Callithrix jacchus: one gene and its partner. Each later gene encodes a partner of the first gene's protein in a complex. Links are inferred from orthologs where the notes say so. Each region holds a gene or a part of one and is shown on either strand. Other genes may lie near its edges. The genes, in order: PLXNB1 and ARHGEF12.

Evidence for each region.
Region 2: the proteins of PLXNB1 (region 1) and ARHGEF12 are in contact, whole or in part, in an NMR structure (PDB 2OS6), measured with the Homo sapiens proteins. The link is inferred for Callithrix jacchus from reciprocal best matches to the Homo sapiens genes PLXNB1 and ARHGEF12. Residues at the interface, in NP_001123554.1 of Homo sapiens: Glu2129, Lys2131, Val2132, Thr2133, Asp2134, Leu2135; in NP_056128.1 of Homo sapiens: Phe82, Gly83, Leu84, Thr85, Val86, Ser87, Gly88, Asp89, His127, Val131, Lys135.

What each region holds. Positions count from the first base shown.
Region 1 is NC_133516.1:31,047,407-31,062,916, reverse strand, and holds part of PLXNB1 (plexin-B1), read left to right. Parts: intron 1-79; coding exon 80-231; intron 232-1,671; coding exon 1,672-1,777; intron 1,778-1,955; coding exon 1,956-2,092; intron 2,093-2,362; coding exon 2,363-2,539; intron 2,540-2,765; coding exon 2,766-2,952; intron 2,953-3,072; coding exon 3,073-3,315; intron 3,316-4,032; coding exon 4,033-4,209; intron 4,210-4,284; coding exon 4,285-4,433; intron 4,434-4,956; coding exon 4,957-5,057; intron 5,058-5,155; coding exon 5,156-5,373; intron 5,374-5,490; coding exon 5,491-5,669; intron 5,670-5,804; coding exon 5,805-5,871; intron 5,872-6,098; coding exon 6,099-6,245; intron 6,246-7,160; coding exon 7,161-7,329; intron 7,330-7,632; coding exon 7,633-7,736; intron 7,737-7,810; coding exon 7,811-7,895; intron 7,896-8,112; coding exon 8,113-8,285; intron 8,286-8,456; coding exon 8,457-8,617; intron 8,618-8,710; coding exon 8,711-8,858; intron 8,859-11,733; coding exon 11,734-11,798; and 9 more. UniProt on the Homo sapiens protein: Receptor for SEMA4D. Plays a role in GABAergic synapse development. Mediates SEMA4A- and SEMA4D-dependent inhibitory synapse development. Plays a role in RHOA activation and subsequent changes of the actin cytoskeleton.
Region 2 is NC_133511.1:19,976,120-19,992,160, forward strand, and holds the start of ARHGEF12 (rho guanine nucleotide exchange factor 12), read left to right. Parts: upstream 1-7,949; 5' UTR 7,950-8,827; coding exon 8,828-8,859; intron 8,860-16,041. Other genes in the region: TLCD5 (TLC domain-containing protein 5), read left to right, coding at 202-400, 1,932-2,470. UniProt on the Homo sapiens protein: May play a role in the regulation of RhoA GTPase by guanine nucleotide-binding alpha-12 (GNA12) and alpha-13 (GNA13). Acts as guanine nucleotide exchange factor (GEF) for RhoA GTPase and may act as GTPase-activating protein (GAP) for GNA12 and GNA13.

The DNA of each region.
Region 1 (15,510 bases):
AGGGTGTGGGGGCCCAAAGGTGGGAAGTTGGGCTGCCTTTCCAGGTGAGTGGAAGTGAGCAGTCCTTGTCCCGGAGCAGGTGGAGCCACTGACTGGGCCTGTAGACGGAGGCACCCGTGTCACCATCAGGGGCTCCAACCTGGGCCAGCATGTACAGGATGTGCTGGGCATGGTTACAGTGGCTGGAGTGCCCTGTGCTGTGGACACCCAGGAGTATGAGGTCTCCAGCAGGTGAGCTGGCTGCACCCAGCAAGGAGCATGGCATTCCCTGGGACCTTTGTGGTTGGCTTTGCTGCTAGGGCCTCCCACCCACCATTCGTCCACCCCCTCTCTCCCTGTTCCTTGATTCTGGCCACAATGCCGGAGTGCTGGGATTGCCACTGAAGCCCCTGAGCACCCACCAGACCTGTAGGTTCTTGGCATGGGCTGCTGGGGAATCCTTCCTGGGCCTGTTACTGCCCAGAGCTGACTGGTGGCTCTGCTCCCCTGGTCTTCTGAGGGACTGTGCATATATTAATAGCTTCGGCAGCACCACCCTCAGATCACACAGATCTGCTCAGGGGCTGGCCTTCTCGCCAGCTCCCTCTTCTTTCCCAGGTATTGCCCTGGGCTGCCTGGCTCCTCAGGGCCAGGCTCCATTGTCACCTCTGGGGACCCCTGCTGCATTCCTGGGGCTCACTGCTCACCGAGATTCTGGGTTATGGTAACCTGGCCAGTGGTTGCAGGCCCCAAAGTTGTACGTGCAGGACACGCCTAAGGAGATGCTCACGAGCAGCAGGGCCCAAACCTGGCTATCAGAGTAACCTGCAGACCCTGCCCCAAACCAACACAGAGCAGATCCCAACTCCCCTCAGACATCTGGATTCAGGAGGCCCACAGTGGGGCCCCAAATCTGTGTTTGAAACAAGGAACCACTCTGCTAGAGCGTGGAGTTTCCCTTGAATGTGTTATGACCGAGAGCTTAAGGTGACTATCTAGACTGCTAATGCTCCAAAACCATAAGGCTAAAGCAATTTATGGAGCAATTAGCATATATATATTCTGTCCAGAGCCTCCCCTGCGTGGCTCACATGTCACTAGTCTTCCCAGTGTTCGAAACAACTGTGACAATGCCACTGAGTTGAGCTGCTGCAGGCTTGACATTCTGGAAGTTAATTTGCCCAAGCTTCTGTTTTCTGGCTAAGAACCAGCATTTTCTTAGACAGTTCACTTTCCCTTCATGTGTATTCCTCTATCTAACTAGAGGCTTTCAGGGACTCTTTTTCCTGAATAAATCAAGTTTCTACCATGCTTTGAGTGGGTACTGTGAATGTGACATGGCAGAGGACGTGGGCAGCTGGCTGTGCCCACTCACTAGCTCAGCAGCTCGCCCCACAACCAGGCTGACAGGGCGCCTTTGTAAATTTGTGCCACAGATAAATTATTCCTTGTCGGGGGCCTCTGGTGTTGAACTTAAATGATCAAAACTACAAATATTAATTCTCAGATACCAAGGCCTTTTGATGTGTCATAAAGAATTTCCTTCAAAGTGAGAGAGGGTCTCTGTTAATCTTGTGGAGGATTGGGAGGGGAAAATCACCTGACAGTGGGGCAGGGAGAGGGGCTACCAGGTAAGCTTGAGGGGGGCCCTCGGTGCAGCCTGGCACCCCATAGCCTGCCCTGTGCCCACAGCCTCGTGTGCATCACCGGGGCCAGTGGGGAGGAGGTGGCCGGTGCCGCAGCGGTGGAGGTGCCAGGAAGAGGACGCGGTGTCTCAGAGCACGACTTTGCCTACCAGGTACCTGACTGCTGAGCTACCCCCAGCTGCCAGTGGACCACCCCCTCTGGCGGCTCCTCTCAACCCATGTGGCTATGCCTTGGTGAGGTTTCCAGCCCTGGGCCATCCTGTCTCTCAGGTGGTCCCCACCTCCCTGTTTCTGGTCTGATGCTCATCTCTCTCCCTGTCCTTCCCACAGGACCCAAAGGTCCATTCCATCTTCCCGGCCCGCGGTCCCAGAGCTGGGGGCACCTGTCTCACCCTGAATGGCTCCAAGCTCCTGACTGGGCGGCTGGAGGACATCCGAGTGGTGGTTGGAGACCAGCCTTGTCACTTGTAAGGGCCACTTCCTCTTCCTGAAAAAATCCATGTGCTCCAGGGGGAAGATGGAGGAGGCTGGAATGCTGGGGAGAGCAGAAAGGGGAAAGGGCCAGTCTGCTCCTTCTGAGAGTGGCCAGACCCTCCCTAGCTGGCTGTCGTGGGAGTGCACCTCCAGGGACACCTGGTGGAGACTGCAGTCAGCGCTAGAGGGAGGACAGCTGGGGCCTGAGTGGTCTGAGATTCCCCTGCCTGCACCCCTCCATTCATTCCCACCTCCCCTCCCAGGTTGTCGGAACAGCAGTCAGAACAGCTGCGGTGTGAGACCAGCCCACACCCTGCGCCTGCCACACTCCCTGTGGCTGTGTGGTTTGGGGCCACGGAGAGGAGGCTTCAACATGGCCAGTTCAAGTACACCTCCGACCCCAACATCACCTCTGCTGGCCCCACCAAGAGCTTCCTCAGGTGCTGGGCCAAGGACATGGCTGCATGGCAGGTGGCAGGGAGATCTTTGTGGCTCCACCCTGTGGGGGTTTGTAGGGCTTTATGTTGGGGTGCTGAGAATCCCATGCTGCTGGTAGGGGTCGGGGGTCATGTGGTTTGGGGCCGGGGCTGAGCTGACCTAGCTGGGGCTGGGCTGTGCTTTAGGTCCAGCTCACGTAAGCCATCAGTGGCTCATGGTCTGTTTCAGTGGAGGACGTGAGATACGGGTCCGTGGCCAGAATCTGGATGTGGTGCAGACGCCAAGAATTAGAGTGACCATCATTTCAAGAATGCTGCAGCCCAGCCAGGGGCTTGGACGGAGGCGCCGCTTGGTCCCTGAAACAGCGTGTTCCCTGGGACCCTCCTGCAGTGGCCAGCATGTAGGACACCTTTGGGTACCTCCACACTCTCCCCTCACCCCACACCACACCCCGGGGACAGCCAGAGCAGGGGCCAGAGGAGGCTCTTCCCGTCTTTGCTTGGCCCCCTCATCAACCTGCCTGTCTTCCTTCCAGTTTGAGGAGCTGTGCCACGTCAACTCTTCCCAGCTCATCACGTGCCGCACACCCGCCCTCCCGGGCCTGCCGGAGAACCCCTGGGTCCGGGTGGAGTTTATCCTTGACAACCTGGTCTTTGACTTTGCAACACTGAACCCCACACCTTTCTCCTATGAAGCCGACCCCACCCTGCAGCCACTCAACCCTGAGGACCCCACCATGCCATTCCGGCACAAGCCTGGGAGTGTGTTCTCCGTGGAGGTACTGCTTCTACTTGGACCTGGCAGGGCCCCGAGACCTTTCCCTTGGCTGCATAGCACTGCTGTGTGTGGCAGAGGCTGAGACAGTAGAGCAGGGGCTGGTGGATGGACATGCCTCCTCGTCCTTGCTGTGGCGGGGCAGACGGGGCTGGCGGTGGGTTGCCTAGCTTAGCATCTGGCATGGCCTTGACTGCTTGGCTGGTGGCCAGGGTCCTGATGCGTTCCATGGCAGGCTCTGGAATGACTGCATTCATATGTTCGGCCTGTGCAGTAGCTGGGTGGTGTGGTCCACGCAGGCCACTGGGCTGATGCCCTGTTGGCAGCCTGGCTCACATGGATGTGTGCTAGTCACATGTCTTGGACATACACAGCGGGCAGCAGATAGGCGTGAGGACAGACCACAGGTAGATACAACCATCATTACCTACCTGGTGAGCCATCAGACACAGAGTGGGGCTCCGGCTTTGTTAGGTAACTGGGCAAGATTTGGGAGACAGCTTTATGTTCTCCGGATTTTTCATTCTGGCAAAGAAGAATAGGGAAGGGCAGAGAAGGGTGATGAGGATCAGCGTGGAGGACATCATGTGACTGGCCTGCACACAGGGGAAGGGTGCTGAGAGGATGTCAGCTCAGCCCTGCTGTTGGGAGTGGGTCTCAGGGTCCTTCCCATTTGGGGAGGACAGGATCTGAGAGACTGATTGGTGACCCTCTGTTCCAGGGGGAGAACCTGGACCTTGCAATGTCCAAGGAGGAGGTGGTGGCCATGATAGGGGACGGCCCCTGTGTGGTGAAGACGCTGACCCGGCACCACCTGTACTGTGAGCCCCCCATGGAGCAGCCCCTGCCACGGCACCATGCCCTCCGAGAGGCACCTGACGCTTTGCCTGAGTTCACAGTCAGTGGGCAGGTCCCTGGCCGGGCGGGCATTAACCTGGGCTGAACCCTCGCTCACAGGTGGCTCCCGACACAGGTGCAGATGGGGAACCTGCGCTTCTCCCTGGGTCACGTGCAGTATGACGGCGAGAGCCCTGGGGCTTTTCCTGTGGCAGCCCAGGTGGGCTTGGGGGTGGGCACCTCTCTTCTGGCTCTGGGTGTCATCATCATTGTCCTCATGTACAGGTGGGTGCAGCCAAATGTGGCTGGGCTGGGGCGGGTCATGGGATCTGGCTGGACTGGGAAGGGACAGACTGGGCTAGAAGTCAGCAAACGTTCTCTGTAAATGGCTAGAGAATAAATATTTTAGGCTTTGCAGGCCAAGTGGTCTTTGCTCAGCAACTCAACTTTGCTACTGTGGCACACAAGCAGCTGGGGCGATGCATAAACACACGAATGTGGCTGCATTCTAACAAACCTTGATTTATTAAAAGAGGTTGTGGGACAGATTCCGCCCGGTTGTGGTTGGCTGATCTCTAGGTGAAACTGTGCTGGGCTAGACAGGGCATGGGTGTATGTGACTTGCTTGGGAGGGGACAGGCTGAATTGTATCGGGCTAGGCTTCGGCTTGGCTGGCATGGCTGGGTTGGACTGTGCTGGATGTAGCCATGGTATGCCTGGGGCTAGGTCAGGCAGGGCTGGGCCAGTACGACCCAGTGAGGGTCTTGGCCTTATCCGGCTGTCCCCTCCTGGCCCTGGTGCTGAGCAGGAGGAAGAGCAAGCAGGCCCTGAGGGACTATAAGAAGGTTCAGATCCAGCTGGAGAATCTGGAGAGCAGCGTGCGTGACCGCTGCAAGAAGGAATTCACAGGTGCGGCCAGGAGAATGGGCCCTGCTCTCCAGGCTCTGTCCAAACCTGCTCCCATCGCATGGGATTGGTGCCCAAATCTGGCCTCTTCTGCTTAACAGACCTCATGACCGAGATGACCGATCTCACCAGTGACCTCCTGGGCAGCGGCATCCCCTTTCTTGACTACAAGGTGTATGCGGAGAGGATCTTCTTCCCTGGGCACCGCGAGTCACCCCTGCACCGGGACCTGGGTGTGCCTGAGAGCAGACGGCCCACCGTGGAGCAAGGGCTGGGGCAACTCTCTAACCTGCTCAACAGCAAGCTCTTCCTCACCAAGGTGCCCCCACCTGCACCTTCCTGGCCCGCCCTGGCTCTGCCCCTTCTCCAGGGCATGGTTTCTGAGCCCACGCCTCTGTCCCCCTAACTCCATTCTCCCATTCCTCTTTGAGTGCAGTTCATCCACACGCTGGAGAGCCAGCGCACCTTCTCAGCTCGGGACCGCGCCTACGTGGCATCGCTGCTCACTGTGGCACTGCATGGGAAGCTTGAGTACTTCACCGACATCCTCCGCACCCTGCTCAGTGACCTGGTTGCCCAGTATGTGGCCAAGAACCCCAAGCTGATGCTGCGCAGGTCTGTGTGGCTGTGGGGCTGGGTGGGCCCTGGACGGCTGGAGCTGGGATGGGGCCTCGGGCTGGGGGTCTGCAGGATAGAGAGGCCCGCAGTCCCGCCTGCTGACCCTGGCACTCCCCTTTCCTGTCATCTCAGGACAGAGACCGTGGTGGAGAAGCTGCTCACCAACTGGATGTCCATCTGCCTCTACACCTTTGTGAGGGTGAGGGGCAGAGGTGGACAGGGATCCCGTCCATGGAGGGTCAGGCCCTCCAGACCTCTAAGCCCTTAACTACCATGCAGCTTGGACACTTGTGCCAGAGCAGAGACTCCTGCTTAGCCTGTCCTCAGTCCCCTAAAGCCCATGTCCTGTCCCCTTCCCCGGTGTGCGTCATGTCCCATAACCTCTGCCACCTGCCGGGGGGCCCCTAACTGCCTGCACTCCTCTAGGACTCTGTAGGGGAGCCTCTGTACATGCTCTTCCGAGGGATTAAGCATCAAGTGGACAAGGGGCCAGTGGACAGTGTGACTGGCAAGGCCAAATACACCCTGAATGACAACCGCCTGCTCAGAGAGGACGTGGAGTACCGTCCCCTGGTGAGGGTGTGAGTGTGTGTGTGTGGAGTACCATCCCCTGGTGAGGATGTGCGTGTGTGTGTGTGTGTGTGGCATACCGTCCCCTGGTGAGGGTGTGCGTATGTGTGTGGAGTACTCTCCCCTGGTGAGGGTGTGTGTGTGTGTGGCCTGCAGTGTGAGTGTGAGGTGAGGATGAGGGTTGAGGGTGTGTGGGTGTGTGGTGTCTGAACACCAGCTTCTGATGTGGGTACCTGGATGGAGAGCTGGGCTGACCTCTGGCTGGCTGCTGGAGACAGCCCGTCAGACTAGCTTAGCAGGATAGCAGCTTAGGGCAGACCTTGATGATAAGGGCTCTGGGTGCCCCAGGCTAAGGATGAAACCCAGGTAGCCACAACCAGGGTTTGGGAGGAGCCAGCCCTGCCCTGGACATGGGCTTGAGCTGTGCTAGGGCCTGACCCTGTCTGCCTGGCCCTACCAGGGATGCGGCCTTGCCCCCCACGCCAGCCCCACTCTGGCAAGCACTTCTCTCCAGGTTCGCTTTCTCCTTAGTTATGCACGAAGATTCCTGTGGGAAACGCCCATTCAGGCCTGCTGAGCTCCTCCCCTGTCAGATGGATGGGAATATTTGCTCATGCAGGCATCCCAAAGCTCCTGCAGCCTGACCCATTCAGCCAGGAACCTGGGGACTGGTGCTCACTCATTTTTTTCTGCCATTTACCCCATAGTCATTTATAAGTGCACTATGCTAGGTGCTGGGGTCACAATGGGGAGGAAGCTGCTGTCCCTGGGGAAGGCAGGCAGCTGAAGAGATGAGAGTTAGGGAATGTGTGTGGGGGTCGGAGGCAGCGGCTCCCATGAGTTGTTCCTGCCCTTGGCCTGTGTCTTGGTCATCCTGAGTGTTCATGAATCCTGACGGCTTCTGTGTGTCCTGCATAGACCTTGAATGCGCTATTGGCTGTGGGACCTGGGGCAGGAGAGGCCCAGGGCGTGCCCGTGAAGGTCCTGGACTGTGACACCATCTCCCAGGCCAAGGAGAAGATGCTGGACCAGCTTTATAAAGGAGTGCCTCTCACCCAGCGGCCAGACCCTCACACCCTGGATGTTGGTGAGGGCATGGAGGGCCCCTGTGGACCTGAGCCAATGTTGGGCCTGGGATTGCCTTGCTCTGCAGGGACAGCTCATCACTCAGGGTGGGTAGGACGCTGGGAGGCAGGCAGAAGCCAGCTCTGGAGCATCTTTGTTGGATAGCCTCTCACCTGGGGAGGGGTCTCTGCTCTTGGTCTTTGGAGAGGTTGAGTAAGGCTGCCCCATGTTGGAGGGGCTGGTGTTCTTGTGGAGGAAGAGGTGGGCTTCACTGTGGGAAGGGTATCCTGCCGACCTTGCACCCAGTCCTGCCTTGCCCTTGCAGAGTGGCGGTCTGGAGTGGCCGGGCACCTCATTCTTTCTGACGAAGATGTCACTTCTGAGGTCCAGGGTCTGTGGAGGCGCCTGAACACGCTGCAGCATTACAAGGTGGGAGGGGTGGGAGCTGGAGGAGGGACTTGTGGGGAGGGGCTGGTGGAGGGATCACCAGCTGTGCTCAGCAGGTCCCAGATGGAGCAACTGTGGCCCTTGTTCCCTGCCTCACCAAGCATGTGCTTCGGGAAAACCAGGATTATGTCCCTGGAGAGCGTGAGTACCGTCCCCATCATAGCCTCTGCCCCTGCTGTGCCCAGCCCTGAGTCATGGGGAAGGTCCTTTGGGCCTCAGGGCAGGCTTGTGCCTATTTCCATTTTGCCCAGGGAAGCCCTCAACCAGGTGCCCCCACCCCTGGGAGACCTGGCAAGATCCCAGGGGCCTGGGGAGGTGGCACCTGGGGAGGGGTTACAGCTGTGGGCTCTTGCCACAGGGACCCCAATGCTGGAGGATGTAGATGAGGGGGGCATCCGGCCCTGGCACCTGGTGAAGCCAAGTGATGAGCCAGAGCCACCCAGGCCTCGGAGGGGCAGCCTTCGGGGTGGGGAGCGTGAGCGTGCCAAGGCCATCCCTGAGATCTACCTGACCCGCCTGCTGTCCATGAAGGTGGGATGGGGGCTGCCAAGTTGGTGGGGCCTGGCTGAGGGGGAGCAGGGCCACTCATGGGATTTGGGGGTGGTGTGGGGCTCTCGCAGGCACAGTGCTGGGGGTGTCTGAGTCTGGGCTGCTGCTGAGGCCACCTTGCTGACGGCACCTCCCTGCTTCCCCTTCCCTCAGGGTACCCTGCAGAAGTTCGTGGATGACCTGTTCCAGGTGATCCTCAGCACCAGCCGACCTGTGCCTCTTGCTGTTAAGTACTTCTTCGACTTGCTGGACGAGCAGGCCCAGCAGCATGGCATCTCCGACCAGGACACCATCCACATCTGGAAGACCAACAGGTGGGGTGGAGCCAGGTGGGCTCGAGGTGTGTGTGTGGGTCTTCTCTTCTGCCTCCCCAGCACACTCATTGGCCATGCTTGCCCTACCCACAGCTTGCCTCTGAGATTCTGGATCAATATAATAAAAAACCCGCAGTTTGTGTTTGACGTGCAGACATCTGATAACATGGATGCGGTGCTCCTTGTCATTGCACAGACCTTCATGGATGCCTGCACCCTGGCCGACCACAAGCTGGGCCGGGTGAGTGAGTCTAGGATGGACGTGGAGGGAGATGGGTGAGGGAGGACAGTGCTGTGTGTGTACTCAGATTCCAGGTTTTTCTGAGAATTTCAAAGAGAGGTTAAGGGGTAGACGTCTGACATCCCCAGGCCAAGGCTTCGTCCCAGGGGCTCCCTGGAAGGTGGCAATGCCTCAGTCTTAAGGGATGAGGAAGAGGAGGGAGGGGCATTGTGTGCCAACTCATAGGTAAAGTTGTGGGCAGCAAGTGCAGCCTGGTGTGGCTGGCTTTGGCAGGATCACTCCTGGGGCAGTGGGAGCCACAGAAGGTCTGGGAACGGGGAGTAGTGTGGCCAGACCTGAGAGTTTAGTGGAACATTGTGGCTGCTGTGCATTGATGAGCTGAGTGAGAGAGGCCCGAGAGGGCACTGTGCTGTCTTCCTGACAAGCAGTGATTGGGTTCAAGCTGAGCAGGAGGGTGCAGGGCAGGCAGATGCTGAAGGTCGGATGTCGAGGATGAGGAAGAAGGAGGGGTCACATATTCCTGGGCCTCTGGCTATGGTAAGGTTAGACTTGGAGGAGGTGTCTGGTGTTTGTGGGGCTTCCAGGTACAGACATGAATTATTCAATCCTGGAGCAGCTCCGGGCTGCTGGGTGGGTTTAATTTCTTAGGGTGCTGGAGGTGTCTGCCTGCCAGTGGGGAAGTAGGGAAAAGAGTCCGGCGTCATGGTTTGAGGGACGTGAGAGGAGGGGAGCTGGGAAGCACAGAAGACTGAGTGGTCTGAGCCATCCAGGAGCACAGAGTTTGGGAGTCTGTTGTCACAGCAGTCAAGGCCGGGAGTCCCCTGACATATGAGGTCCCCAGAGTGTCTGCTCAGGTGCCCAGGCAGGGCCCTCATGTGACTCTGCAGGTCCGTGAGTGGGGCTCTGCTTAGCATAGACCCTCAAATCTCAGTTGGCTTGGGACCTCTTGAGAGGTACATTCCTACCCCTCTGGGAAAAATCAAAATTAGCTGGGTATGGTGGCTCATGCCTAGAATCCCAGCACTTTGGGAGGCTATGGTGAGCGGACCACCTGAGGAGCTCAGGAGTTTGAGATCAGTCTGGGCCACATGGCAAACCTCATCTCTACAAAAAATACGAAAATCAGCCAGGAGTGGTGGTGTGTACCTGTGGTCCCAGCTACTTGGGAGGCTGAGGTGGAAGGATGGCTTGAGCCTGGGAGGTTGAAGCTGCAGTGAGCCATGAATGCGCCATCCACTGCACTTCAGTCTGGGTGACAGCATGAGACCCTGTCTCAAAACAAAAACAGAAATGGAAAGTTCTGTCCAAAATGGAAGCACTGTCTTTTGGGAGCCATCTTTGTTGCACATGCTGTCACCATTATGCCTATAATGAGCTAAGAACCAAAGTGCCACACCAGGACCTGGAGGGCCACCTCCAAGCTGGACCGCATGTGGTGGCCGGAACTCTTGCCAGATCTTCCGAGTACCTCCCTTTTCCAGCAGAACAGCAAATGGCTCCTGGGGAGCTCAGGAGTAGTCTGAATCAGGAGTGCCAAGGGGTCCCCCCATGGGGAGTTGTTGAGAAGGCACGAATCCTGACTCAGGTCGTCGGAGGAACTGGTCTTGGGTCCCTGCTCACAGGGGACACTGTTACCTCGAGATATTTCTCACCTTCTCAGCAGCTCTAGGATGAGGAGAGGTCCTGAGAATAGAAATATGCTGCCCAGCCGGGTGCAGCAGCTCATGCCTGTAATCCCAGTACTTTGGGAGGCCGAGGCAGGCAGATCACCTGAGGTTAGGAGTTTGAGACCAGTTTGACCAATATGGTGAAACCTCGTCCCTATTAAAAATACAAATATTAGCCAGATATGGTGATGGGCGCCTGTAGTCCCAGTTACTCAGGAGGCTGAGACAGGAGAATCACTTGAACCTAGGAGGCGGAGATTGCAGTGAGCCGAGATCGTGCCACTGTACTCTGGCCTGGGCAACAGAGCAAGACTCCATCTCAAAAAAAAGAAGTATGCTGCCCAGAGCCCATGGCTGCTGGGACTTGAACCCAGTTCAGTGGTAGAGGCTATATCTGGGTGTGTTAAAGTGGTGGAAACTGACTGGACAGACCTGCTTCAAATCTGAGCTCAGCCACTGGGGAGTGAGGTGGTCTGCCTGCATGCATCTTCCCATTTCTGTGCCTCTCTTGGTGGCACGGGCGTCCCCTCCACCTATCTCACTCCTGTACCATAGGTAATGTTCTGGGTCTCAGTTTGCTAATTTTTTTTTGAAATGGAGTTTTACTCTTGTTACCCAGGCTGGATTGCAATGGCATGATCTCGGCTCACTGCAATCTCCCCCTCCTGGGTTCAAGCAATTCTCCTGCCTCAGTCTCCTGAGTGTAGCTGGGACTATAGGCGCACGCCACCATGCCCAGCTAATTTTTGTATTTTTGGTAGAGACGGGGTTTCACCTTGTTGACCAGGATGGTCTTGATCTCTTGACCTCGTGATCCACCCGCCTCTGCCTCCCAAAGTGCTGGGATTATAGGCGTGAGCCACCGCGCATGGCCAGTCTGCTTATTTGTAAAATGATGATCCCCGGAGTGAACCGTGTGCTTCCTGCCCTGCGTACTTGCCTTTTGCTGGATCTAGACGGAGGCTAGAAATGATTTCCGATGACATCAGAGACTGGATATTGATGGAGGGGAGGGAGCAGAGGAGGCTCCTGTGGAAGGAAGTAGGCTAGGGTGACCACCTATCCTGGTTTTCTGGGACTCAGGGGCTTCCTCATTTTCTGAACTGAAGCAGTGCTGGGAAACCTAGGACATTTGATCACCTGAACAGGGGCCCTCATTCTTCCTTCCTTCCTTCCTTCCTCTTTTGCTGTCCTCCTGCTGTGTCCAGGACTCCCCGATCAACAAACTTCTGTATGCGCGGGACATCCCCCGGTATAAGCGGATGGTGGAAAGGTACTGGAGGGCGAGATGGTAGAGGTTGGAGGGTGTGTGCAGCTGAGGCCCAGAGAGTGGGCTTTGGTGGGGTTGGGGGAGTGGGCTTGTTTACCCAGCAGCGGCTGTGTTCTGGCTCTCTGGCAGGTACTATGCAGACATCAGACAGACTGTCCCAGCCAGCGACCAAGAGATGAACTCTGTCCTGGCTGAGCTGTCCTGGGTAAGGCCTCCCTCTGCTTCTTGGATTGGGCATAGGCTTCCCATCACAATGGTCCAGTCCCCTTCACACTGCCCCTTTGCAGGGAAGCCCTTGGGAACCTCAGCAGCCCTGTGAACTGGTTGGGGCAGGACACATAAGTGCAGAATGTTCCAACTGCCACTGAAAGACCAGGGTCCCCACCATCTCATCACAGAGCAAGCAGGGGTCTTGTCCTGGCAGCTGCCATGTACCCTGACTCAGCCAGGCATTTGCAAGGTAGCTGGGATTCGGCCCCATGCCTGCCTGGGTCTGCCTGCATGCGTTTTCCCACTGCTGTGCCTCCCTTGGTGGCATAGGTGTCCCCTCTACCCCTCCCACTCCTAAAACAGCCCTAAAATGTAACTCCAGGGAGTTTATGAACAATGTTTCTGAAATGATGATGATGACAACCACAGTACTCATAGCAGCTGTGCTTTTGGGGTGTTGTGTGTGAAGCCCTTCATGGGGTGCTTTGATTGTCTTATTTGATCCTCACAAGAACTCCGCAGGTTAGGTGACACCAACTCCATCGACCAGGTGAGGAAGTTGAGGCTCAGGATGGCCTCATGGAGGGGCCTGAGAGTAACCTCAGGAAATGCTTGAGTTAGACCAGAGCAGAATCATGCCGGGCTATCAGCCTGCAAGCAGCATCTGTGCCACTTGGCTCTGAAGTCACCTGGTGGCAGAGGGCCTGGGCTAGAACCTTGAGGGGGCAAGAGTGGAAACCCTAGGCCTTGCTGAAGCAGGCAGACCTGGGCTGTCTTCCCACTGAGGAGGCCCCCTTGCCCTGCCCTGTTGTGTCCCCAGCTGGGAATGCCTGGCCCAGGGTCCCTGAGCCTTGGAGGGGACTTTGCTTCCCACTGCAAGGCTCATCCCTTTCTCTACCTCTGAGGTCCCCTTCTCCCCAACCCTTCCCTGGGGTCCTGGGCCACCTCCTGTGGCTGGCTGCAACCCTCATCTCTCTCATCTCTCATTTGGCCTCTTCCCTAGAACTACTCCGGAGACCTTGGGGCACGAGTGGCCCTGCATGAACTCTACAAGTACATCAACAAGTACTATGACCAGGTGGGTAGGCCCTGGCCCCAACCGGGAGGCTGACCCAAGGCCTCTCAGGAGGCTTGAGAGGCTCTGGCAGGGACAGCATAGCCAGGGGCTGGGCCTCTCATGGTTTGGGAAGTGTTCTCCAGGTAGGCTTCCTGGTATTGGCTGTGCTCTCACCTATCCCACCACTCCCCATTCCAGTTCCCCAGCAGGGCGGCAAGACATGGTGCTGATGGTTGTGGGGCTGAGGGGTCTACCAGGGCCTGGAGATGGTGTGTATCTGCTGAGTTGGCAGCATGTTGGGCACAGCCAATATGCAGGTGCAGGCCTGGCTTGGCTGCACGAGCTGCCAAGAGAGAGTCCAGGCACAGGACCAGGGCTGTGAGGGTACCATGGAGCTGCTGAAGCTTTGTGGAGGATCCCTGGGCTGGGCCTGAAGATCTGAGCACCTGCCAGTGAACCTACTGGGTGCCTGTTGGAATAGTCCACTTAGATGTTTGTGTGGCACCAGTAACATGGCTGTTGCTGCTCAGAGATGAGGAACCTGCCTCATGACCCACAGCCTTCCTGGGCATGGTGTGGGCCATGGCATGGGGCGTGGGGGAGGCAGGGTATAATGCAGGCATGTCCCTTCATGGAGACATGGTGGGCAAGGGCTGTTTTCCCAAGTGCTGCTGCCCTCCCAGTTCCTACCGGTTCCCCTTGTGGCAGCCCCCAATTTGTGATTCGTGTTTGATCAATAGAATACTGATCATTCTTGGTGTCTGGTCATTCTTGGGTCTCTGTCCCTTGTCTGGCACTAGGCAGACAGGAACTTGGGAAATGCTGTTGGTTGGAGGGTGGGTGAGCCAGAATGGCGGGTGAGTGAGCCAGGATGGCTGCAGCAGGGTTTCTGAGGGGCTCGGTACAAAGTAAAGTCCTTCATTTCCTACCTTATTAATCCTGAAACCCCATGTGGCTTTGATGTTATTACCCCTCCCGCTGATGAGGCCCTGAGGTCACAGAAAGTACATGAAGTGACTAGCTGGGTTTCTTGGCCTCCTACCCCACTCGTGCTACAGCGTCTTAGGAGGCCCATTTAATTCTGCAGCAAACACGTTGGCCAGAGAAGTCTCCCCTGATGGCATCTGTCTCTGTTTCAGATCATCACTGCCCTGGAGGAGGATGGTACAGCCCAGAAGATGCAGCTAGGCTATCGGCTCCAGCAGATAGCAGCTGCTGTGGAAAACAAGGTCACAGATCTATAGGGACCCAGGAGCTATGACCTGCTATTGCCTCAGCCTGGCTGGGGCAGCCCTGGAAGCTTGTGGGAGAGGCCACCCTCCTAGATGCCTGTAGTGACTGACAAGCAGAGTTAGTGGAAGGTGACTCCCCGTCCGTTTCCTGGTGGCTCTGGCCTCAGGCCTGCTGGACCCACCTCCCAGGCCCAGGGCCTCAAGGCTCATGGGGTGGTACCCAGCCTGCTTCCCAAACCCAGTGACCCTGTGACATCGGTCTGCAGGGAGCTGGGGACTAAGGGCTTCCAGAGAGTGGCCAGAAGAGCCTCCAGGCCCTGGGGAGACTGTACTGTTTCTGAACACTGGCCTTGGCCCCACTGGGATTCAGAGAGGAAGGAGGAAAGCCCCACGCTTCCTGTGTGCCTCCTCCACCATCCCTGACCTCAGTTGAGCTGCCTCTGGCCTTGTTGCTGCTGCCACATTCTAGGTCTAGGATATGAACACCTCTCCTAGGCCACTGCAGACAGACCCCTCAGCAGGGCTGGCTGCCACAGGGCTGCCCTGCCTCACAGGTAGCCAAGGTGAGGGCCATCTGCTGCAGGGGGTCTTGGGGAGAGTGGTGGCTCCATTGACCCAGCTCTTAATTAAAGGCTAAAACACTGCGCAGAATCTGATGTGTGAGCCTGGCCCAGCCCCACGCTACTAGGAGGGTGGCCGCTATGCCTGGCAGGTACCAGTGGGAGGTGGTATCTGTACCCTGGGGGAGTTTCATGGTCTCCCCAACATATCCCAGACTGCAGGACTGGCTGAGGCTCTCCTTGACTCCTGAGCAGGGCCTGGTGGGGTCACAGCTTCTGTGAAGGAAGTGAGAACCGCATCTGGGGCAGGGTTGGTGACCGAGATAGAGGGTCCACAGTTTCTTCAAGGGGGCCCACTTTATCTGCAGTTTGTGTATCCCCACTTCTCCACTCATGTTCTATTTGTCTTGAAAGGGACTAGGAAAGGATGACATCATTACAGGCAACTGTAGGCAGATGGGGTCTCAAGGACTATTTTCCATAGTCCTGTTCCCAGACTTAGGGTTTCTGTGTTGATTTCCAAATCAGGGCCTCCTGGGGCCGGCTCCTAAACTGACTGCCTGCATGAAGGCTGTCTTAGATGGCTTTTCCTAACTGGTAGCTGGAGGTAAGCTTGGAGACCATCTTATCTGGTCTCATGTTGCTAGCTGGGTTTC
Region 2 (16,041 bases), on another chromosome or scaffold:
ACATGTTGTCTCGGAGGAACTTGGAATTATAAATACAGCCATGCTTTAGAAGATTCTTGGCTGTGTAGATAAGCAAGATAAGACAAGGCAGTATTTTTGAACTATTCTGTAATAGAAATGAGGACATATACACAACATGACCCAATGCTGTTTTCTTAGGGTGCATCCTTTGTTTTCTGGTTTTGGTCTTTTCATCATAGGATGGCATTAGCTCTGTGTCTGCAGGTGCTGTGCAGCCTGTGTGGCTGGCTCTTGCTCTATATTTCTTTCTGCCACCTGAATAAGCACCGAAGCTATGAGTGGAACTGCCGGCTGGTCACCTTCACCCATGGAGTCCTCTCTATAGGCCTCTCCGCTTATATTGGCTTCATTGATGGCCCATGGCCTTTTACCCACCCAGGTAGGTAGGGGATTTTTCCTTAGGGATTTATGATTTGGGGGTAGTCTTAGAAGGATGTGATTTTAAAATAGAATTTGTACAATATTGAAAATTAACTCCCATTATAATTTTGTATTGGAATCCTCTTCTTCATTAACTCTGCTATTGTTTATGTTGCCTGTTGTTTCTGCTTTTTGTAACTCTACTTTTAAAACAACTTTTAAATTGCTTGTTGCAGTTTTAATCAGAAATATAAAAACCACAAAGCCAATATCAACATCTTCCACTACCACCCTGCCCTCCGCCAAAAGACACAAATAGAACTGTATTATACATATTTTTGGCAACTTGCAACTTTTACTTGACTGTCTGTTCAAAAGACATCTTTCCATGTCTGCGTTAAGAGGATGAGATGCTCCATATCCTTTTTAATTGTTACTAGATGTCCAAGTGTTACTTTCATAAATATAAAAATTTTACACCCTTAATCGGCTGGGGCTGCCATAACACAGTGCCACAGAGTGGGTGACTTAAAGAGATGTTTATTTTCTTGTAATTCTAGAGGGTAGAAGTCCAAGTTCAAGGTGTTAGCAGGTCTGGTTTCTTCTGAAGCCTCTGTCCTTGGCTTGCGCCCTGCCACTGTGTCCTTACATGGTCACCCCCTCTGTGTGTGTGTGTGTGTGTGCGCGCACGCGTGCATATCTGTGTCCTAATCCCTTATTTGTAAGATGACAGTCACATTGGATTACTCTAATTACGCTATTTTAACTTGATTACCTCTTTCAAGGCCCTATTTCCAAATACGCTCACATTTTGAGGTACTACCGGTTAAGGGCTTTAACATATGAATTTGGGGAGGGGGGACACAATACAGCCCTTAACTTCCCTGGAATATAATTTTAAAAATATTTCTTTAGATTCTCTTATTGAGTTTCTGAGTTTTCCCCCAAATTGTCAAAGTGATGAAAGCAATGGTTAAGCTTTGTGTTTTATATGAAGGTTCTAAATGGTTTCAAATATGTCAGGCCCCTGAAACCCATGTTCCTGGGCATGAGAACACACTCAGTTTTGCGGCCCTCTCCAGAGTCTACTTTCGGGATGAGTTGGGGCCACTGAGTGTTCATAACCTAACCCATTAAGCTGAGAAAAAAAATATGACATTTGGGAAATGACTCAAGAGTCTGGAACTAAACCTTTAGCAGGGTTAAAAAAAATAGTTTAGGATTTTAATTAAAGGAACAAAATAACTGGATTTTACGCTGTTCCACAGAGAGGACACTGAGATTATTGCCTGCATTCATTGAAGGATGCAAACTCGCTGAAGTCTGATTCATCAGAAAAGCGTTTCCTGGGGTCTAAACATCGTTTCATTTGATAAAGACCTTGATTTTATATTTTAGTGTTTCTTTGGTTCTCATTAAAAAGCACGTGCCTGCCATTGTTTTTGCTCCTTTAATGTTCAATAAGGTTTGAAAGAGAACAACATAGGACACCTGTGCAAGGTAGCACAATTCCCAGTCACTCAATTTGCTTCTGTCTTGGTTTATTTCAGGCTCACCCAATACACCTCTCCAAGTTCACGTTCTGTGTCTCACCTTGGGCTACTTCATCTTCGACTTGGGCTGGTGCATCTACTTCCAGTCTGAGGGTGCCTTGATGCTGGCTCATCACACATTGAGCATCTTGGGCATTATCATGGCCCTCGTGCTTGGGGAGTCCGGCACAGAGGTCAATGCAGTCCTCTTTGGAAGTGAGCTTACCAACCCCTTGCTACAGATGCGCTGGTTTCTCCGGGAAACAGGGCACTATCACAGTTTCACTGGAGATGTTGTGGACTTCCTCTTTGTGGCTCTGTTCACAGGAGTGAGGATTGGTGTAGGAGCTCGCCTCCTTTTCTGTGAAATGGTCTCCCCCACGCCTAAGTGGTTCGTGAAGGTTGGGGGAGTAGCAATGTATGCTGTGTCTTGGTGTTTTATGTTTAGCATCTGGCGCTTTGCATGGAGGAAGAGCATCAAGAAGTACCATGCTTGGAGAAGCAGGCGGAGTGAGGAACGGCAGCTGAAACACAATGGACATCTCAAAATACACTAGCCAAGGCTTGCTCCAGGTTATGGATTGGGTTAAGTCAGCCGTGGGAACCAGGTTGGAAATATGACTGTTACGGAATTATGCTTATAACAAACTTAGGTTTCAAAAAAAGGGCTAAATTTATCGATCAATTTGGTCAGTCTTCAAGCCGGGCATATTTCAGTATTAAAACCCTAACTTCTACAGTGGCACAGTTGTAGAAAGTGAGAATACTCCTTGGTAGTTGGGATTAAGAACTGTGAAGCGAGTACTACAGGCATTTGCTTTCATTTGTGGTGACCCTGGGTCCTCCTTCCCTGGGAGGTTTGATGTCCGGGCAGCTTAGAAAGGAACTCGAAAGATTAGTGCCATTTCTTGTTCCTTTGAGAAGTAACTCTTTCAATAAACACTGATTTCTGCTTTCCATGTAGCAATTTATCTAAGTTTACCCCATTTACTATAAAGTGAGGGGCTTTTAGGAAGACACACGCCTTTGGCATTTTGAACATTTGATCAGGGAATTAGTTCTGCTTAAACAGAGGGGGATAGGAGGGCGAGAGTAAAACTGGCAGTGAGGAGGAGGGTTACTTACTGAACCTCCTATACCAACTGTGCTAGAGGTCCCCAAGACCACTGTCAGGTTACGTGATTCTCTGGGAGGACTCAGAGGACTCAGCATATAGTCTTACTCATAGTTCTGATTTATTATAGTGAAAAATACAAAGAAAAATCCGTAAAAGGAGAAGGCACCTGAGAAAAAGTCTCGGGAAACTAGGCACAAGCTTCCAGAGTCCACTCCCAGTGGGATCACACAGGATACGCTTAATTCCCCTAGCAATGATTTGTGACATGCGAATGGGTTGTCTACGGGAGAACGTCATTACAGACTCAGTGCCCAAAGTTTTTACTGGGGACAGGTCATCTAGGCAGCCTTTCTCTAGCGGGGAGCAAAATTCAAGACTCTCAAAAGGAAAACAGGTGTCCAGCATAAGCCATATTATTTGCATAAACAGTTCAGATACAGTAAACCAGTCTTATCAGTTAATGGTGGGAGCCCTTCCAAAATCTAAGTTCCCAAATGCCGGCCAGTGGCCAACCCTGTAATCAGGCCTCTCCAAGGATAGCAGTTTAGGCCTGCTATGTTAACTCTTTGATGCACAAAACCTATAGAGTTAGGGCTTTGGATTTGAGATGAATGAAGTGTGGGAGATTTACTGAGTTCTGTTATACAGTTCTGCCCTACCAGGAAAACTATGCCAGTTCTCAGGGCTTTTGTGCATTAATCTCCTAGGCATTTGAGGCTATGACTAAATTCCATAGGGATTTACCATGTGGATTCCACTGTGCTTGAGATGGCAGTTTAGATTTCAGCTCTGCTGTACATATTGCAAACTAGAACCAAAGACTTTAAAGTATGTACTGGCCTCAGGGGGGTGAGGTTAATTTCTTTTTTTCATTTTAGATACATTCCCTTTTAGTACTCTTCCCTTTTTCTTATTTCTATTAAAAAGGTACCACTCTATGGACAAACTAATATGACAAGGTCAATCTTGAAAGGAAAAAACATAATAATTCTTAGTGTGACAGTCTCCAAGAGAAGCAAGAACATAAACTTAGAACAAGGGGTTAAGAATCAAGAATTCCTGGGTTCTTTTAACTAATTTCGCTACTCACTTGCCAGATCATTTGGATAGGTTACTCGTTTATTATTTGTCTGAGTTTAAACCTATTGTAAATGAATAAAATACCCTGTTATATATTTCATAGAGACATTATGTGGCATTTTATTAATGGAGGTCTTTAAAATAGGGCTTTTATGGAAATATGAAGTATTTATTGATTATTTTTACCATGTTATTTAGTTCAATGATGTTTGACTAGCTCAGTGGGTGAGCAAGCATATGGTGCTACTGGAGCCAAGGCTGGTCAGTAGGAAGTGTCAGTCCATTCCATGGCCACTGGTAATCTCACGTAATGAGGAGTCTCGAAAATGGATGTCTTGGCCACAGAAACCAAGCATGAGGGAGTGGTTGGAATGGTGTAAAGTCATCACTGTTAAGGGAACAGTAACTTTAAAAGCATGTTAACAGTGGATCTTTCAAAATAATATGAAAGAGTTTTGCTGGTCATTGAGATAATCTGACAGCATCTCCACTCTTTTTTTTTAATCTCCACTTTTTATTTTTTCTATCATGAGTGCCCCTAAAATGCTGGTGAGCTTCTTTCCAACAAAATTGCAGTCAAAGTAGGATGCTGGGGAATGCTGATTTTAGCAAAAGCCTAGCAGAAAAGAGTGGCTTGGCACATGAGCTTAAAAAATAAAAAAGCTGGCTCTTGAATTTTGGCACAGTGCAACCTGTTCCATACCAGACAAATGAACAGGCTTAATCTGGTACCAATTCTTTTTCTCTCTTACTCCCCAGAAGTGAAGGGACTGCAGATCTTGCTGTTTGGAGACACTTTCATTGGAATGTATATAGGTTTTTTTGAATGGTGAGAAATCTGAATAATTGGTAAGGGGAAGGGAATCCCTCATTTCAGCTTTTCTTGATGTTGTCACTAATAACTATGAAAAAAACCTCTGAGAGAACAATGTGAACTGAAGATGACTCAGCAGTTAAGATAATGCTCAGTTTTGAAACCACAGGTAAATGAAGGGCTAATTAATGTGTGGTATACTTGGACAAAATGAAGTACTCATTTGCACTGGATTACTATGTAATGATAACTAACACTGTTCAAGAAGGATTTATATTTCCATAAGATTTGTACTAAATTTTATAAAAGTAAAACAACTTTTTATAAATCCAGAGTCTGTCTTTATATTTTTGCGGTGGTTTTGCCAAGAAGTTAAAAAAAAGCCTTTTGACCTGTAGAAATGTTGACCTGTATTCATACTTGTGAATATCTCTAATCTGCTGTTCATTATCAATCATTCACGATATTTTTTATTTTGGGGGGGGGTAACAATTGATATACAGAAAACAGTCTGCCAAAAGAGAGAGGAAGAACCTTAATTTGTTTCTTGTTCTGCCACCTGTTTGGACACTTGCATTTAAAGTGGTAGTGCAAGTGAGCTGACATCAGAAACATCATCTGAAGACAGCTGGGGGCCCTGTCTTGAGGACAGTACTTCCAATGCCTAAAACAGTCTGGGATGCATAGTAGATACTTAATAAACATGTTGAAAGAATGGACGAGAGGATAAGAATGTAGTTTAGAATAATGCCCATTGGGAAACCTCCTCAAAGAGCATGTCCAGTGGATTGGGTCATCAGTGTCATTTTTCTAGGTAAAGCACTACTGGCCCTGAGGAGTATGTTCTCCGTAGACTGGCTTGACTTTCTGAAGGCATCCTATAGTCTCTAGAACAGTTGAGCTACCAGCAGCTTTAAAGAGGATTTCAGGTATTTTTTTTTTGTTTCATTAATGCTTTGTAGGCGACTATAGAGATTTTCATCATTTAAAAAAATTAATTCTGGAATGAATAACCACTGGCTTAATTCAATCCTTTGCCTACCATCTTCTGAAGCTTTCCCACAGCAAAATGCCTTCTTTGCTCACAGCTAGAACCGTGGGTCTGTTTAAGTTTGGAAAGATCTTGAAAGCAACTTGCCAAGAGGTTTTGTATGCAAGGAAGAGAAGGTGAATTAGGAAACTTTCCCAGTTCGTTTTATTCCTGAAGCTTAAGTATTGAGGCTTCCTTAAAGTATTAAAGGAAGAAGGGAACTCATTTTTAAAATGCATGATTTGATGAGTCATTGGGTTCAATTAATTGATACTTACACTGTAACATTGTTAGAATAGGGGAGCATAAGATATTTAGTACTTTTAAGAAAGATTTTTTAAAATTTGGTGATAAGGTTTGCATTTTGGCCAGTGTATGTATGTATAGATAGATAGATAGATAGATAGATAGATAGATAGATAGAAAGACAGACAGACAGACAGATAGATAGACAGACATACAGATAGATAGACATACAGATAGATAGATAGACAGACAGATAGATGAATGAATGGGATTCCAGTTACATGTAAACACTCAATTTTTAAGTCTTCAGGGTAGAATCGTTATGCTAGGATTCGCCAGCAGGTGGCAATGTGTCTTGGTTTCATCATTAGGAAAGTCTCTTGGCTAATCTGCTTCTATTCTTTCCAAAAATAAACATTACAGAATTAGCTGGCTGTGCCTTGAACCTAAAAAATCAAGCAATAAAGAGTCGTCTCTGGCCTCTGTTTATCTTTTCCGCTTTTTTTTTTTTTTACCCCGTTCTAACTAACGTCAGCTTGAGCTCATGCCTCTATTCGGGGATAATGATCCTTGCATGAACTGTTTCAGAATGACTTTTTGCGACAGTATTGTTAGGAGGTAATTGTTTCCTCTCTCCACATCCATTGTTTATTAGATTGATTTGCTATTTGGATTCCACAAAATGGCTGAAATCCCTTGCCACCAACATAGAGGTCTAAGCTCAAAAGTCTGAAAATAGTTGGGTACAGGGAATAGCCACTTTAGCCGTTTGCAGGCAGAATTGAAGAACTGTATTGTATGTAGTACTTAAATTGCCATAATACTGAATTATTCAATCATAAAATTAGATGAGTATCTACATCTCTCTACCCAGTAGGGGAAAAAAAACGAAAAATCGTCTGGGAACCCTTCAGAGAACCGTAATGCTATTTATTGGATAAATATACTTCTTTTTCTTCTCCCATTTCTTTCCACAACACGCTTGTTAAGTCGCTATGGAAAGCACCATGCTTTCTCAATTTGGCAAATAACACATTTCATTTTGCCAAGTCAGAAACAGCCTAAAAGCAATATTTATACCGAGGAGCCCTGGCTGCAGTCCCCAACTGCTCCCCCGCAGCCCGGAGCCTCCCGCTCCCGCCGCGCTCTCCCGCCGGGGCCGACAGGTGCCCAGGTGAGCGGGGTCTCCAGTAGCGCTAGCGGCGGGTGCCGGCCCGGCACAGGCAGATCACGCGCAGCCAGGAAACAGGAGCGCCGAGTACATTCCCTTAAGGAATAAATGTTTCCAGGACAAGTCGGTCCGGTAATTTCCAAAGAGCCTCCGGCACAATGTCCACGGGGTCTGGGGGGCGCTCTCGGCGGTCTGTGGTGAAAGTCGACTCAGTACAAACTGGACTCGAAGGGGCAGGTCTCGGCACTCAGGGCTCCGGGCGCCGCGGGAGGTGGGTGGGCCTCCCAAGGCCGCACGGGTCCCACCTCCCTCCGCCCCGCAGGACTACTTTTCCGCTCCCCCCAAACCGGGCTCCGGCGGAGGCGTCCGCGCGGAGGCCAAAGAGCGAGTCTGACAGGCGGAGGGATCCCGGGTGAGGCGGCTTCCCGAAGTCTGAGAGGAGGGGGCCAAAAAAGTCAGCGGGGGACGGGAAGCGCGAGCTCGCGCTGGACGCCGCCGGGGCCGGGAAGCCAGGACCGGAACCGGAACCCGCGCGCGCGCCCGTGGTTGCGCGGCCCCCACCGCCGTCGGCCTTCTCCGTCGTCTGCGCGCGCGCCCGCGAGGGCCTCCAGAACCCGGCGAGCCGGCCCTGCGCGGGGAGTCGCCGCCGCCGCCGCTGCCGCCGCCTCCGCCTCCGGGGCCAGGGCTTCCAGGCCGGGCCGGACGGGCATCTCCCGCCCCTCGCGGGGAGCGTCGGGGAGGAGCCGCCGCCTCTGGCGACTGCGGAAGAGTCCGGGCCTCAAAGGGATGGGGAGCAGTCCGCGGCGCTGAGAGACCCGGGTCCCTGTCACCTTGGGCCGCGGGACCCCTCCCCCGGCGGCCGCGGCTCGTCCCAGCGCCAGGAGCCTGGTGGGGGCGGCGACCACAGGAGGAGAGCCCCGGGCCCGGGACATGGAACCGCGCGAGCCCGGCGCGGGACGGCCGGAGACGCGGCAGACGCTGCGGCCACGAGCAGCCGGCAGCCCCAGATAGAGAGCGGGGAGGGAGGGCCCCGGCCCTGCCGCGGCGGGGAGTTCGAGGCCCCGAGACTCCGGAGGAGGAGCCGACACCCGTCCCTGAGCTGCTGATCCCGCCCCAGCCCCGGCGGGAGTCCCGGGTCCCCTTCCCACGGCTCGCGGACTTCTCTCTGAGGAAGTTTCTCCTTGTGCCCCTGGAGGATTTCTCACTATCTCTACTCGCTCTGGACTGACTCGCTCCCTGGCTTTCTCAGTTTGTTTTGGGAGATAACTTGTTTTGCTCCAACCCGCATCCCTTGACCTCTTCCAATCGGATGGTCTAGATGACTGAATGGAGTTTTGAGTTGGACTTTTGCGTCCCTGACGGAGTTGGGCCTGATCCCAGAGCACTGGGGGTGGGGAGGAGGTGTTACTGTAAAATGCAAGTTGGATAAAAGGAGGATCTCTCGCCAAGGGCCCCAATGAGTGGCACACAGTCTACTATCACCGACAGGTTGGTATGAATTCCTCCTCTCGGCCTCCCGGAATTGGGCCCGACCTAGCAGCGGAGTCGGTGATTGCAGATTGCCTTTGGCCAGCGAAGTTGACAGGCAGAGGAGAGAGGGTTGTTTCGGAGCTGTGCAGTTAGCTCCGGGTTGCTGCCAGTTAGCCAGTTGATTGGCTTTTGGAAATGTAGTTTTTCTGGAGAGAAACTTCCCTCCCGATTCTCGGAGAAGGGGGCGGTAAAGCCATGATTGTGGTTTTCCGCCTGTAGTGTGCATTAGGGTTGTGTACTCATCTGGAAATCAGAAGAGAAGGTCATTTGGGGTGAAGGTCGCTGTCTGAAGTCGGCTTGGTATTGGTGTATTGTTTTTCGGTTTTAGCCCTGTCCTGCAGTAGTTCTCAAGACAATTACATTTTAGGAATTTCTACCTGTGAACGTAATGTTGAGCCTACTGCATGGTCCTCTGGGAACCTGATCTCTTTTAGATGTTGACCTGCACAGTGTTTAATTATTATCTAATAACTTTCCAGAATGTTGACATTACCAGTAAATCACAGGTTCTTGCTGGAGACAGTGTCCAGGAGCTGAAGAAATGAGGGTAAATCATGGGGTTTGCTTTTAATTCTTGTATTTAAAGGTTTCATCTTCCAGAGACACTTGGCGTTTAAAACATATAAACCCATAAGCACAGTATAAGCGTGCAGCTTAATTTGTTGAATTCTGTGTCTGCCCTTTATAGCACTTATCAATGTTGCATGCTGGTGTGGGGCGAATTGAGCTAGACCATGTGTGGTTGAAGTGCAGTTTGCTTTTCCTAAGAGTTACTCTTCTCATAGGGTAAGGGATAAAAGCATATTGATTTCTTCACCACATTTCACTTCTCAATTTAATTATGACACTGTATGCCAGTCCCAAATTTGTCAGCTTGCTTTATTTTTAAGTCAGTCTTCAAACTATTACATTATGAAAAAATAGATCAGGTAACTGAATTAGAGTGCCAAAGCTCTTTGATGAAAAGTGCAACAATAGTGCTTTTGCACAAAGTAGTTTAATTTCCTAATAAGAATTTTACCCAATTGTAAGACTCATTTGTTGATTTTAAAGAGCCAAATTCCATTATCATACCATAACAGCTACTCCAGAAACAGAACTAACTTCCTCTTCCTGTTGATGCTTTTCAGCGTCACATGAATGTTCACTTAAAAGAGTCCGTTAAATATTTAAAGTATTTATATTTACTCTGTGTATTTTTCAAAATGGCTTTTCATTTTCAATGAAATAATGTTTAATTTTTGCAAGAATACACTTAAGTATTGACAGTGCTTATCTTGCTGTCTTCTTGTTATCCCCATTTTTTTCCTTTCAGGGTATTTTTTCTTCTGAGAAATCACTTTCACGGGTGTAGGGATAATTGTTTTCCTGGTTCATTCAATTCTTGGTCTTTCTGTTGAGCCTGTAGACAAGAGGTCTTACTAAGAACTAATGTAATGTTGGTTTTCATTGCGATACTGAGCTGTTTAATTTATAGAAACAGAATGAACTCATTCCACACACAAATCACTTAAAAGCCCTCAAGTAATGATTTTTCTTCAGCAGTGCTTCTCAGGGATTTTTCTTCACATTATCTTGGAAATAGAATCTTGGGATTTGTATCTTCTTTATAACTTAGATGGCATATAAACATTCAATAAGGATGAAATTACTGGAAGCCTGTTTTTTTTTGTTTGTTTTTTTTTGTGTGTGGCCAGGCACTGTGCTAGGCACAAGAGATTACAAAATGAATATCGTAAGATTAATCTACAAATTGGTTTGGGCATTAATGTTTTTCGAACTGGTTTGGGTGCTCCCTAATTTTACATATTTTTTTAAAAAAGAAAAAACCCTTGGAAAGCCAATTAGTAAGCACTGCTGAGACCTGTTTCGTCGATTTACTACTTTTTTTATTATTAAGAATTATTCTTATTTGACCACTGCTTTTTCTTTAAATACATTTTGTAAATATAAAGCATCCATTTGCTCTTAAGAGAGGTGAAATCTGGAGGTACTGGTTTAATATTATTTCTATACCAGGGTGTCTTAACAAGGTTATCAGCAGAGAATAGTTTCTAGCTTTCTCTCAGCCCTAACTCCAGTTAGTTTTACACTAACTGGAGATAAGTTAGAGTTTTACACTAACTCCAGTGTACTGTAGATATATTTTGCTGATTCTAGAACTATTGGAAAATTAACAGCGCCAGTGTAGCTTTTTAGATAGAGATCCTTTCAAGTTTGAAGTGCTGTATGTGGTATGGCTTTGTTTTGTAGAGTGTGCAGAACCACCAGGCCAGCTGTGTGAGTTAGAGTTCTTTCATTGTGGTGCTTCTGACTACAGAGTCTGTCTGTCCTCAGTTGAAATCAGACTAGATGGTTTTGGGCGTTGTTCTGTTTTGCAGTTTGTGGCAGGCGACACATGGCTGAACAAGATAAGGGTTTTATTCTTGTGTTAGGGACGTGCTGGGGCTGGGATGGAATTCAGCTATGTTTAGGCTCTGATTGGTCACTTTGGATACTCAGAACTCTCTTACATCCTGTTATTATTTTGCAGTTAAATCAACACATTCACTTGTTCTCTTTCTTTTCATCTTTTACTCCCCAGTCTGTACCCCCTTTTCTTAAAACCTAAAACTCGAACTCTTTTTAAAACTTAAAACTCAACCTATGTTCATGGTAGCTATTGCTTCTATGTAGTATATCCAAACAGCTTTAAAAAAAATTCTAAGCAGTTTATGAACAGTCTTTTGCTTTTATTTGTGAAACCTAGAGTCCGTAGTTTTCATCGTTGAGAACGAGCACTTGACAAGTGGTAGAGATGTCTGATTGCTGCTGTTCAGTCTGCTTTGGTTGCTCTATTCAATATTAAAATATATCCTCATTGTTTCCAATCCTCCAACATGTCCTTCTTGTATCCCTGAGAATTTAGGGGTTCAATAGCAATTGGAATTTCTTCTGAGAGGTAGAAGGGAGAGAATGCTCTTTCAATAGACTCAGTAAATGATTTCAGGCCAACGTGTATAACATTGAATTTTCAGGGACAGTACAGTTAGGAAAATTACAAGGGTCTTCCTTGAAATAAATGGAATTTTGTTTTGCCTAGGGCTTATGAATTTTGTAGTTTTTGACTTATAGATAAACATAGGTTTTTGATATAATTTTTTAAGTACCAAATTCAGCTTTAAGCTATTTAACTTAAGCAAATTTTTTAAATGAGTGTGGAAACCTGTGACTTTATTGTGTCTCTACCCAGTAATTAGCGTTTTCATTAATGATACTTTCATCAGCAAAATTGCTATATAATGCTTTTGACTAAAAAAAAGAACTACTCATGTTTACATGTTATTTTCAACATTGCATGAATCATATATCTGTAAGGTAAAATTATTTGTAAACTTTTCTCATAGAGTCAGCCAGTCAATAAATAGAAAATGGAAATGGGGGCTAAGGATCACAGTGTTAGTTTTGTATTCAGTTTTATCTTTGCCTCTTTAGTTGCGTATAAAATCTTGAGTCATAAAGGTATGCAATAGTACAGTCACTTGGACAGTTTTACATGAGTCAACATGCAGAGCCTAAAGTAACTTTTTTTGAAAGTACAGAGTTGTAGCTTTCCTGATTAATGGTATATTATATGATGTTCATATTCATTGAGGTCACAAGAGAAGCTTTATTTGAAATCTTTACAAAAATATGTTAACCTTGGAATACCACGTAACACATTGGTGGTTTCCAGTTGTTAACATGTATATACCATTGAGATGTAGGTTTTTTTTTTTTTTTTTTTTTTTTTTTTTTGAGACTGAGTCTTGCTCTGTCACCCAGGCTGGAGTGCAGTGGTGTGATCGTGGCTCACTGCATCCTCTGCCTCCCAAGTTCAAGCGATTCTCCTGCCTCAGCCTCCCAAGTAGCTGGGTTTACAGGCGTCTGCCACCATGCCTGTCTGATTTTTGTACTTTTAGTAGAGATGGGGTTTCACTATGTTGGCCAGGGTGGTCTTGAACTCCTGACCTTAGCTGATCTGTGTGCCTTGGCCTTTCAGAGTGCTTGGGATTACAGGCTTGAGCCACCAAGCTGGGCAGGTTTTTTTTTTTTTTTTTAAATTAAGTTTGAGTTTTCAGTTTAAAAAATGAAGTTTGAGGCAAACATTCATGGAATACATAAATGGTGAATTTTACTTATTTTTCTGTGGAGCATTGCAGTTCCAAGGGAAGACAGTTGGAAAATATTTCGTTGTACATATGTGGTCTAAATGACATCCAGAACTGGGTATGAATTGCTTCCCAAACTGATAGGGATCACAGAAACAGCAGGATGACATACCGGTTCCCAGAGGTAACTGAAGGAACTCTTTTGCATCATGGTTGTCTCATTGCTATCAATGTTTCTTATGTAATTGCTTGTTTCCTAGAAATTGACCATGACACATACTCAGGAGTAATAGCTTAACTTCCTTTGGTCTTCTGTTAAAACTTGGTTTTGATAATGTTCTTGAGCTTTATTTGAAGACATGCTCCTTTTCCTTTTAATAATTACAGGTTTTCAAAATAGTGCCATGTGAATGAAAATGTTTGAATCAACAAAGTTATAATTTTGCCTTCTTTTGGTAAAATAGCATCATGTATGTAATGATATCCTGTGATAGTATAATTCTTTAACATTTACAATATTTTCAATTTGGTACAGGGCAGATCATGTTTCTGTCATGCTATAAGGTAATTCATACAGTTTAAATCAAGATTATAAAACTAGAAAGGACAGACCAAGGATTTTAACCTAGATTTTCTGGCTTTTAAGTCTCCCATTTGTTTTGCTTTAAGTTATTGTCTGTCCTTGTACTATATTTTTCTGTACTATTTTTCTTTAGTAACTCTCCAACTTGATGAAGTCAGTTGAAGTTTTCTCTTACAGCATACTTTCTAGTACCTTACCCGTTCTAATTTTAAATATCTCTTGAGGATGAAAGCTTTTGTCATTTCCTAAGGAGACTAAAGAGTATGGTAATCTGATAGATCTTGCCGTCAGGAAGTTTTTCCCGATCTTTAGCTCAAACTTTTCTTTTAAGTTGTCCTGTTACTTGTATGTACTTGCTGTACCAGGCTAAACAATGCTCTCCTCCCATTTTATGTTTGTATGATTCTAAATGTTTCAGACGGTTATTCATTATCCTTTCCGGTCCCTTTCCCTTACTCTTTGCTTAGCCAAGTTTTATGCTTTCCGTTGATCCATTGTCTAAAAATCAACTTGTTTCTCTTAATACTTTATTAGCTTTCTCTCAGTTGCTCTCCTAGTGCAAAAATGTGGGTAAAGAGATTCTCAAGGTCATTTTGATTCACTTTTTAGATAGTCTATAGAATGGATATGAGATGTGTCACAGTCAAATGAAACAAACACATTTATACAAACACCAACTAATTAAGCAATTACTCATGTTATAAAAGGCTTTTTTACAAAGTGATTCTTTCAAATAAGAGTACTGTCAACAAATGTTATCAATTATATGACAAAAGGGTAGGGTATAGAAATAATGTTAGCCACTGTTGGTTGAAAATCATCTTGTTGCGATGTGATGAAATACATCAGGAAGTTGTTAATTTTTTTTTGGTGGTTTTTTAGTCCCTTATCTTAATTGTAGGCCATTTCACCCAATGTTTTGGTTTATTTTTACCTTATTGTTTTGTCACCTCTTATTTTCACATATTAGTGAAATAGCAATGCTTAGCAGTATTTTTTTCTTCAGCAAAATGGATGTTGTGAAAATTGAAATATTTTATTTTCTTGCTGTTGTATTTGCAAGAATTGTTAATAATGACAAGACACAGTAACAGAAAAAGTGCATATTATTAAAAAATCTATAAGACTGTAGACCTTTTGAATATTTTATTAGACCTTTTTCCTTGGTACTAATTTAGTTTCAGATTATTGAAATTGTCCTTGTTTCGTATATTGCTAATATTAATATTTTGTATTTTGGTAATATTAAAATTTGCAAACATGCCAAATTTAGAGCATTTTACTTTTTCAACTTAGAATATCTGGAAGCATCAAGACAGTCATATAGGAAAAACAGTTGTAAGGCACCTTCTAACTCCAAGAGAAGCCTATGAAGCTAGCGCCTGGTCAGAGGCTGTGCCTAAGTTACGTGAGCATGTATTGTTGACTTTTAGTACAAGAAAAAATACACTCTTGAGTTAGCATGCACCAGTGCAGTTTAGATTCATACCAAAACAGGGTCTTTTACTGATTCAAATGCTGGTCCAGGTTTTCGAGATCATAGTCACATGACAGCCCTGGGTGGTTCTCAGTGTCTACAGACAAGCAAATCTAATGGCCAATGAAAAGGAGGTTTCCTGTCTTGGACTTCAAGTAACAAATCATGCAGAAATTGGAAGTATCTAAGAAACCCTGGTTTTAGTTAATGCTTTTAATTAGCTACTTGTCACACTGCTTTTTCTTTTGGTGTTATGTAACACATTAGAGTCATTTAAAGATACTGCTGCGATACTACAGTTTTTGTCATTTACGTATAAATGCTGATCATATGTTCATATGCTCAAAAGATCAAAGAGGACTTTGTAGGTCTTTTGTGGATTCAAAAAAATGCAGATTATTTTGTTGCAGAAAAACTGGTCAAACATGGTGGCTCATGCCTGTACATCCCAGCACTTTGGGAAGCTTAGGTGGGCAGATCACTTGAGGTCAGGAGTTTAAGAACAGCCTGGCCAACATGACAAAACCCTGTGTCTACTAAAAATACAAAAATGAACTGGATCTGGTGGCACATGCCTGTAATCCCAGCTACTCAGGAGGCTGAGAAGGCGAATAGCTTGAACTTGGGAGGCAGAGGTAGTTAGCCAGGATCGCACCACTACTCTCCTACCTGAATGACAGAGCAAGATTCGTTTCAAAAAAAAAAAACTGGAGACTTCATCAGCATCTGAAGGAGTGATACCTGAAATTGATCTTGTAATGCAGAAAGTGATTATATGTTGTCTAGAAGAGTAATAGATACCCCAAATACATTTAATATACAAGAAATCCTGTGAAAGTACTTAGACATATCCTTCCAGATGGGTTATCTGCCTGTGTTCCAGACACAAGCTGGTATGTTGTGGTTTGCCCAGTACAGTCTCTGTGGTTTACCCAGCGGAAGTGGTTCTT